Linked DNA regions of Caenorhabditis elegans. The protein of the gene in region 1 interacts with the protein of each later gene in a pairwise test. Each region holds a gene or a part of one and is shown in the gene's direction. Other genes may lie near its edges.

Evidence for each region.
Region 2: the proteins of Y105E8A.21 (region 1) and cdap-2 interact in a two-hybrid assay, tested with the Caenorhabditis elegans proteins (one large-scale study listed by BioGRID).

What each region holds. Positions count from the first base shown.
Region 1 is NC_003279.8:14,507,335-14,512,175, reverse strand, and holds the start of Y105E8A.21 (C2H2-type domain-containing protein), read left to right. Parts: upstream 1-1,623; 5' UTR 1,624-1,636; coding exon 1,637-1,819; intron 1,820-3,417; coding exon 3,418-3,801; intron 3,802-4,841.
Region 2 is NC_003279.8:3,327,579-3,332,772, reverse strand, and holds the start of cdap-2 (SH3 domain-containing protein), read left to right. Parts: upstream 1-2,099; 5' UTR 2,100-2,161; coding exon 2,162-2,179; intron 2,180-2,830; coding exon 2,831-2,933; intron 2,934-3,736; coding exon 3,737-4,080; intron 4,081-4,691; coding exon 4,692-4,895; intron 4,896-5,194.

The sequences.
Region 1 (4,841 bases):
AAAAAATACGAGAAAAAGCGATTATTTCAGATTTTCGTTGAAAATTCTGAAATAAAACAGAAAATTTGCAGATTTTCGCTGTTAAAACCGAAAAAAAATTACAAAATTTCCAATTTTTTCGGGAAAAAAACGGAAAAAATCAGAAAATTTCCAGATTTTTCCAAAAAATACCGGCAATATCTGAAAATTTCATTTTTTTTTTTGCAAAAATACTGGAATAATCAAAGTATTTCCAACGTTTCTATCTGAAAAATCAGAAAATTTTCCAATTTTTTTGCAAAAAAAAACGTGAAATGTATTAAATTTCCAGAATTTCCCAAAATTTTTCACAAAATTTCCAATTTTTCCAACTTTTTTCAACAAAAAAAATCCGAAAAATCTGTCATTTAAAGAGCAAAAAAATGTTTTTCCGCGAAAAAAACTGTCTAACTCTCTATTTCTCTTCTCTCTCTCTCTCTCCCCACCCACACACACACACACACATCTATCTCATTTTATTTCCATTCCGGCCTTCCCCCTCCACAAAAAGAACCAACGATCGATTTTTTTGAAAAGCATAATATTTTCCCGTTATTTATATATTTATCTTTTTTTTTCTATTTTTTGACTGAAATTATACCCAATTTGCTCAATTTTGACTGAAAATTCGACGCAATTCTCCCCATATTTTTTTCTAATTTTTTTTTTGCGAATTTTATCTCTCTTGCCATTATTATTTTGTTAATAAATAAACCCCCATTTATTGATTTTTTTTTTTTTGAAAAATTTGAATTTTCCGCTTTTTTTTTTGGACTCGGTTTTCTTTGATTTCCAACTAACTTTATTTTATTTCATATTTTTTTCCTGTTTTTTTCCCCGTTTTTACGATTTCTGCAGAAAATTTGAATTAAAAACTGCAAAAATTGGATTTTTCGGCGAAAAAATCTAAAAATTCGAGTTTATTTTCTGGAAATTGGTAATTTTTAAAAGAAATCTGATTTTTTATGGAAAAAAGTAACAAATCCCGATTTTCTTGTAGAAAAATCAAAAATATCATTTTTGAATGAAAAAAAGCGAAAAAAACCGTGTTTTTTTTCCGAAAAATGGAAAAAATCTCAGATTTCCCTTGAAAAAATGATAAATTTGAATTTTTCAATAAGAAAATGCGAAAAATTCCGATTTTTTGTTGAAAAATAGTTTTAAAAAATCCAATTTTCTCGTACAACTATTAATTTTCCGCAAAAAAAAATCGAAAATTATTGCATTTTTTCGCAAAAATTGTAACAAATTCCGATTTTCTTTTGAAAAACTCCAATTTTTCTTGAAATTAATCGCAAATTTCCAATTTTCTCTCGAAAAACTTCAAATTTTCAGCAATTTTCCCAGAAAAACTTTAAAAATTCAATTTTTCCGGAAAAACTTCAAAAAGATCCAATTTTCCCGGAAAAACTTTTAAAAACTCCAATTTTTCCCGGAAAAACTTCAAAAAATTCCAATTTTCCCGGAAAAACTTCAAAAAATTCCAATTTTCCCGGAAAAACTTCAAAAAATTCCAATTTTTCCGGAAAACTTTGAAAAAATCCAATTTTCCGTGAAATTAATCGTAAATTTCCCAAATTTTCCGGAAAAACTTCAAATTTTCAGGCATTTTCCAAAAATGGCTCCACCAAAACGAAGAAGCACCCGTCCAACAACTCCAGCAGCTCCTACAGATCCACCAATTGAAGAAAAAAAGCCGGATCTTCTGATCGCCTACGATTCGGACGAGAAATTCGTGTTCTCCTTCAGCGAAGAGGGTCTCACAGCGAAAGAATGCGCTGAAAAAATGAACGGATTCAGTGTAAGAACATGGTGCTCGCGGAGCACAAATTCTACTGAAAATTCCGGTTTTTTGTCTTAAAAAAAACTGAATATTGCTTCAAATTCTGCTATTTTCACTTGGAAAATGCCGATTTTGCTGAAAAATTCCGCGAATTCAAACGAATTTCAAGAAATTTCCAATATTCTGGACGGAAAAACACACGGAAAACTGAATTTTATCTAAAAATTCACTCTATTATGCAAAAAAAATCCAATTTTTCTGAAATTTTCCGCTGGGAAAATACCGAAAAATACTCAAATTTTGCAGAAATTCTGGGATTTCAACTTGAAAAGTCCCAATTTTTGCAATTTTTCCAGTTTTCCACGCTTTGGAGCACATGAAAAATTGAATCTTCTTCTGAAAATTCTGCAATTTTTTCGCAAACAATGCTCAAAAACATTACTTTAAAAACCCAATTTCTCAAGAAAAAACTGCAATTTTAAGTTTTTCAGGCTTATATAAAAAACTGACTTTTGCATGAAAAATTCTCCGATTAAAAATTGGAAAATTAAAAAAAAAACATTTTTTGCCTCAAATTTAAATCAAAAAATATCAATTTTTGCTAAAAAAAACCGAAAAAAATCCATTTTGGTCCAAAAAAATCCATTTTTGCCAAAAAAAAAAACCAAAAAAAATCTAGTTTTTGGGCCAAAAAAACCAAAAAAAATCCATTTTCTGATTCAAAAAAAAAAAAAACAAAAAAACATTTTTTCGCCTTAAAGAAACTAGAAAAAAAATTCATTTTTGGTCCAAAAAAACCAAAAAAAAATTAATTCTTTGTCAAAAAAAATGGCTAAAAAAGTTTTCTCCTCAATTACAAGCTGTTTTAACACTTAAGAGATTGAAAAATAAAATCTAATTATTATTTTTTTTTTCACAAAAAATATACGGAAAACTGAATTTTTGCATTAAAAAAAAGCGAAAAAAACTGCATTTTTGAGTCGATATATCAAAATATCTGCTAAAAATATCATCAAAATATTTTTTTCGAGTTTTTAATCGGAAATTTCAATTTTCTTTCTTTTTCCCTGGAAAAAAAGCATTTTTGCCGAAAAAAATACCAACCAAAAAAAAAGTCAATTTTTTGGTCCAAAAAACTTTAAAAAATTAATTTTTGTCAAAAAAAAATTCTTTAAACAATCCTTTTTTTGGTCCAAAAAAAACAACAAAAAGAAACCAAATGGTCCAAAAAAACCAAAAAAAATCCATTTATTGGTCCAAAAAAATAAAAATAAAAAATTTATCCAAAAAACCAAAACAAAAAATTCCATTTTTGATCCATAAATACCAAAAAAAAATCCATTTTTTTGAGCTAAAAAAACCAAAAAATCCATTTTTGGTTAAAAAAAAAAACCAACAAAAAAAATCCATTTTTGGGCTAAAAATACCAAAAAAAATTAATTTTTGGTCCAAAAAACACCGAAAAGAATTTTTTGATTAAAAAAAATCCATTTCTGCCAAAAAAAACCAAAAAAATCTAGTTTTCGGGGAAATAAAAAACAATTTTTTAAGTAAAAAAAACCAAAAAATGCCTTTTTTTTGTTTAATTTCCCATCTAAAAAGTTCCAATTTTTCAGACAAAAGAGCAATTTCTGACAGAAGTCCACGTGGATGAGATGCTCCGTTTCCTAACAAAAGTGATAATTGGAAGAAAAGGAGAACCACTGAAATGTCTATGCTGTGATCGTTTATATGTTTCATCGTCTGGATTCTTAATTCACATTAAAAAATGCTCAACAAAAAATGAGCAAGATCGTCTAACAGATGCTCAGAATAAATATCGAAATGAGCCGAGTAAATGGTTAAATGTTCGAAAAAAGGATCAAATTGCCACGTTGAAGACAATTGTTGGAACTAATTACACGTGTTTTATGATTGGATGTTCACTGAATTTTGGATCTTTGAAAGATCTTATTGAACATCTTGCAACATGTATTGGAGCTGATTATTATAGTTATAAGGTTCGGGGTTTTCCCAAATTTTCCGAGAAAATTTGGATAATTTTGAATTTTTTTTAAATCGGAAATTCAAAAAAAAAATTCTGGGAGAATCCGGAATTTTCCTGATTTTTTCAGTGTCTTTTTTTTGAAATAATCGGACAATTTTCAGATTTTTTCTGAGAAAATCCGGGATTTTTCATATATTCGAGCACTATTATAGTTATAAGGTTAGACTTTTTGAGAAAATTGGGAGTTTTCCCAAAATTTCCGGCGTTTTTCTGAGAAAATCTAAAAATCGTTCAATTTTATCGAATTTTTACCAAAAACAGAAGAAAAAACATAAATTTTGTCTAAAAATAAAAAAAAAACCCCCGTTTTTTTCCGAAATTTTTCGGTGATTTTCAACAAAAAATCTGGAATTTTTCCTTTTCCCAGTGATTTACAGACAAAATCCACGGATTTTTCCGTTTTTCGGTCAGATTTTTGGAAAAAAATATCGATTTTTCAAAATTTTGAGAAATTATCGATATTTTTGTTAAAACATTATTTTTTACACCAGCTTTTTGACAAAAAAATGTCTAGGAGAGTCGAGAATTTTTCCGATTTTTTTCGTGTTTTTCTGGAAAAATCGGACAATTTTCCGATTTTTTCTGAGAAATTACGGGATTTTTAGGTTTTTTTCATATATTCGAGCACTATTTTAGTTATGAGGTTCGGTTTTCCGACAAAAATTGGATTATTTTTTCGATTTTTATGAATCGAATCGAGAAATTCGAAAAAGAAATTCTGGGAGTTTTCCTGCCAAAATCAGAACCATTTTTGACTTTTTTCGGGGAAAAATCCAGAAATTTTTGATTTTCCTAGAATAATCTGGAATTTTTCTGATCTTTTGGTGTTTTTCTTACTTAGACAATCGTAATTTTGCGGAAATCTCCCGAATTTTCCAGTGTTTTTCTGAGAAAATGTGGCCAATTTTCTTCATTTTTTTTAATCCAAAATTCGAAAAAAGATTCCCGATTTTTTCAGTGATTTTATAACAAAAAAAAATTTCGGTTTTTTTT
Region 2 (5,194 bases), about 11 Mb from region 1:
TTTACCCGCCACCAATGCGGCTGCGGTTCTCCTGTTTTTTTTGTGTTGGTTCTCTCTACTAACTGTCTGTTACAAAAATTTCCTGACGGGGTTTTTTTTTTATTTTAGGAGAGTAATTAGGTTACACAAAGTTATCCCACACAGACACACCCAGTTAGATTGTTTCACAATTCATTTAGAACACTTCTGGAATGCATTTAACCCGGGGTTGGGCGGCAAATGATTTTTTTCCGGCAAATTGCAGGAATTGAAAATTTCCGGAAAATCGGCAATTTCCGAAAAATTTTGGCAAATTTTAGTTTTTTTTGTTGGAAAATTCAGAATTTCAATTTTGATCGGCAAAATTGTACGCATCCTATGAATGTTCCTGCCAGAGGTGTGCGGCAAATCTCAAAATTGGCCGAGCTCGGCAAATTCGGCAAATTTGCCGCACACCCCTGGTTCCTACATCAGTTTTGAAAAGCAAGCAAATTCTATGAAAATATTCAAAGAAAACGGGAAAAAATTTCAAAAAGGCACAGTTTTAAGTGTTTCCGTCTTATAAAAAATCCCTCTAAACATTTCCGGCAAATCAGCAAACCGGAAAATTGCCGGAATTCAAATATCCAGTAAATAGGCAATTTGCCGATTTGTCGAATTTGTCGACAAAAAAATTCGCGCGATGTTAAAATCGAAAAAAAAACTTTAAAAAATTGAGATTTTGTCAGTTTTCTGCATTTTCCCAAAAATTTCAAAAGCTTTACGGTTTTCAAAAAAAATAATCGAAAATCAGTTCGATTTTTTGGTCCAAAAATTTTTTTTTGGTTTTATTTCAAAAATATTTCGAAAAAATAAATTTTGAGTCCTTTTTATCAAAAACAAGCGCGAAAAATTGATTTTTTGAAGGAAAAAATTGAAAAATTCGATTAAAAAAGTGTTATTTTGATTTTTAGACAAAAAAGTCTCGAAAATCGATTTTTATTCAATTTTTCCACCAATAAAACGAGATTTTCTTATCCTTTCCAAAAATGGAAATCATTTATTGTGACCGTTATTACTGTAACACAAAACTCGTAAAAATGCGTATTCCGTAACATATTTGACGCTCAAAATATCTCGTAGCGGAAACTACAGTAATTCTTTAAATGACTACTGTAGCACTGGTGTCGATTTACGGGATCTCGATTCTTGACATGAAAAAAGTAGTTTCTTTGTATTACCTATTTTCTCACTTTTTGCTTAATTTTTAAATCTTAAATTAAATTATTTGAATTCATTTCAAAAATCGAGCCCGTAAATCGACACATGCGCTGCAGTAGTAATTTAAAGAATTACTGTAGTTTTCGCTACGAGATATTTTGAGCGTCAAATATGTTGTGCAATACGCATTCTCACAACTTCGTGTTACCGTGTAATATCCGTCATAATGAATGAGAAAGCGTGTCAAAAATTTGGAATTCTCACATTGTTTTCAATCTAAAAATTAAAATTACACTTTTAGTTCAAAAAATTCGATTTTTTTTCAATTTTCGTTTAAAAAACCGAGATTTTAATTTTTTTTTCTTTTCAAAAATTGAAATTTTACACCTTTTTTTTTCAAAAAAAATTTCGAAACTTTCACAATTTTTTCGCATTCTCAGAATTTTGCATTTTCGTATTATATATTCCTAAATATGTCATCTCGATCAAAATATAAATTTACGAGATTTTATTGTTTTGGCCGCGTTTTTTTCTGTTCACAGGTCATCAACGCATTGAAGAGGGGGGTGGGGGAGGGGGACACGTTCGAAAAGTGATTGATCTTTCCCGCGGCGGCGCTCGATAGGAGACACCACTGCGATGACTCATTCGGGGGAAACTCACACAATTGAAGAAGTGAAAATTGAAATTCACTCCACGTTTTTTTTCAAAATTTTTCTCCACATCTCCCCACTGATAACAGAAGTTTTTGACTTTATTGCCCCACATTTTCCACCATCACTGCACAAACAATTCCTTATCGATTTTCGCCTTTTTTTTTGGCCGTTGTTTGGTTTTTTGACGTTACCTTGGAAATCTTGAAAAAATCACAAAAGTCTTTATTTAATTTTAAAATTAAAAAAAATTGTGATTTTTTCCAGAATTGTATCCGAGAGCCGCCTTGAACTGTTTTTTTTGTTGGACACTCGCGGATCGAGGACAAATGGCACAAGTTGGTGAAGTTAGTATATTTCGTAATCTCTTTTTTTTTTTTTTTGGAAAATTGAGAAAATTGTCGAAAAAGTCATGAAAATTGCAAATTTTTTGGATAAAAAAAATGAGAAAATTGCCATTATTTGATTAAAAAAATTAAAAAATTCCGACTTTTTAGAAAAAATAATTCGATTTTTTAGTATTGAGATTTTTAAAAAAGTGTGAAAATTTTGTTTTTTTGCAAATAAAAAACATTTGAAACATTTCCGTTTTTGGAAAAAAAAATTGTAAAAATTAAGATTTTTGGGCAAAAAACGTAAAAATGTTATTTTTTGATTGAAAAGATTTAGAAAAATGCGATTTTTTTGTCAAAAACAATTGGTAAAAATAAGAGTTTTCGGAAAAAAAGTGTGAGAATTTTGATTTTTTTTTAAAAAAACAGATTGTAAAAATTATGATTTTTTGAAAAAAAAGTTACAATTTTTGGGATAAAAATATGGGAAATTTTGGGATTTTTTAGGAAAAGTGAAAATTTTTTATTTTTTCCAAGTAAATGTGTAAAAACTGCAATTTTTAAAGAAAACATATGTAAAACAAAAGAAAATCGGAAAATTGTGATTTTTTGAAAAAATAAAAGACTTCAGATTAAAATCTTTATCTAAAAATTGCCAATTTTCAGACAGAAGTAGTCGCTGGAAATGTGCGAGATATTGTGAATCGACTTTCCCGAGATATGACAAATCGAAATCCATTTACAGTACATCAACAGGTGGAACGGAGAGGTTTGTTTTAGAAAAAAGTTGGAAATTTTGAAAAAAAAACCGAAAAATTTGAGAATTTCAGTCGAAAAAATGAAAAAAAAACCGGAGATTTTCTCATTTGTGAAAATTTTTCTTTTTAAATGTTTCTAATTTTTAAAATTTAATCACGTTATTTCGAGCACCAAATCTTTAAAAAATCATGGAAATCGTGGCGAGACCCATTTAATCCAAAACCGGCGCCTTTAAAAAATGTTTGGATATTTTTTCAGTATGTATAATATTTGAAAACTGGAAGAAAAACTATTTTTGACGAATTTGAAAAAAAAGATAAAATTACAAGATTTTTGTAGAATTTAACTAGAAAAATGTTCAGATTGGCCGTTTTTTTGCTCCGAATTTTCTAGAGCTTTGGTCCGAGAAAATAGGAAAATTTCTCAAAAAGCTCTAGAAAATTCGGGGAAAAAACGGCCGATCTGAAAGTTTTTCCAATTAAATTCCACTAAAATCTTGTAGTTTTATTAATTTTTTTTCAAATTAAAAAAGATGTTTTTTTCTTCCAGTTTTCAATTATTATTATTATAACACTGAAAAAAAGATCCAAACATTTTTAAAGGCGCGGGGCTTGGATCGAATGGGTCCCGCCACGATTTTCGTGATTTTTTCACGATCTGGTGCTCAAAAACTCGTCGAGGGACAATATTAAAATAGCTCTAACAATTAAAAAAAAATCATGAAAATCCTGAAAAAAAATATCTAAAAAATTCGAAAAAAAAAATTAAAATTTGTGTAAATTTACAAAAAAATAATTTAAATATTTTTTGCAGCTCCCCCTCCACAACCACAAGCTCAAATATACGTGGCCACGTATGCCTACAGCTCAAAACAAGACGATGAGCTAAGCTTTGTCGTCGGAGATCTCATCGAACTGATCTCTGATGTTGAAGATGGCTGGAGTAAGGGAAAACTCAAGTCGACTGGAGCCGTCGGAATGTTCCCGACGAATTTTGTGACGTTGAAGCCTACGCCGAGCACATCTGCTGCTGCAGTTGCTCCAGCGGCTAGTGCATCAACTTCGGCGGGCTCAGCAGCTCGAACTCCGGCAAAATCGATTGGAAGTGAAGTTGTGATGAGAAGCGAGCCGAAAGCTATTGATAGAACTCCGTCGACGGTTCGTGTAGCGAAAAAAATCTGAAAAATCCCAAAAATACAGATTTTACTTAAATATCGGTGCCTGAGACATCAGTTTTTATGGCAAAAATTCAAATTTTTGGAAAAATTCAAATAATTTAAATAATTGAAAATCAACAATTTTTTGTCGATGAAATCCGGAAAATTGGCAATTGCCGGTTTGCCGACTTGCCGGAAATTACGATTCCGCCATTTTACCGATTTGCCGGAAATTTAAAAGTTCCGGCAATTTGCCTATTTGCCGATTTATTTTTTGATTTTCAGCTAATTTTTCATTCAAAAAATATAAATATCCAAACATTTTTTTTTTAATTTGTTCCAAAACTCTTTTTTTTCAGCTTTTAATTGTAAGTTTCTGGTTAGAAGTGAAAAAATTTTTTAATTAAAATTTGTTACATTACAATTTTTTATTAAAGTTATCTTCGACAAAAACAAAAAAAAACTGAAAAATTAAATTTTAAAAAACTGAAAAGAAAATAGTTTTTTTCCAATTAAAAAATTCCATAAATGGCTTCTCAGCACTTTATTCAAACATTTTTTAAATACAGAAACTGAAGAATTTCACTTAAATCAAATAAATCAAAATTTCAGATAATCTCGGACCCGGCTCCAGTGCTCAAAGCCTTGGAAACCAAATTCAGCAGCACATTTGCGAGCTCTGCAGCCTCGGCGAGCACAGACGCAGAAACTACGAAAACGAAAGAAATGGCTCGCGTGAAATTTGTCTACAATCCCCAACACGATGATGAGCTGGCTCTTAAGGAGATTGATATGCTGATTAATATTACAAACAAGGTGCAAATTCACTGAAATCGGAAAAAAAAATCAGGATTTCTGCAATTTTTAGATAAAAAGTTGGAAAATAAAATGGGAAAACCTTAAAAAATCGGCGAAAATTAAAATTTTGGGTTTTAAAATTGTTAAGTAAACTAATAAACTAATATATTTTCAAGCAAAAAAATTAAAAATTTGAGGAATTTATTCTACAAATTTCAAGTTTAAAGTCTAATTTTTTTTCCAAATTTTAGACTTTAAATTTGAAATTTGTAGATTAAAATCCCCAATTTTTAATTTTTTTTTTCATTATATTTGCT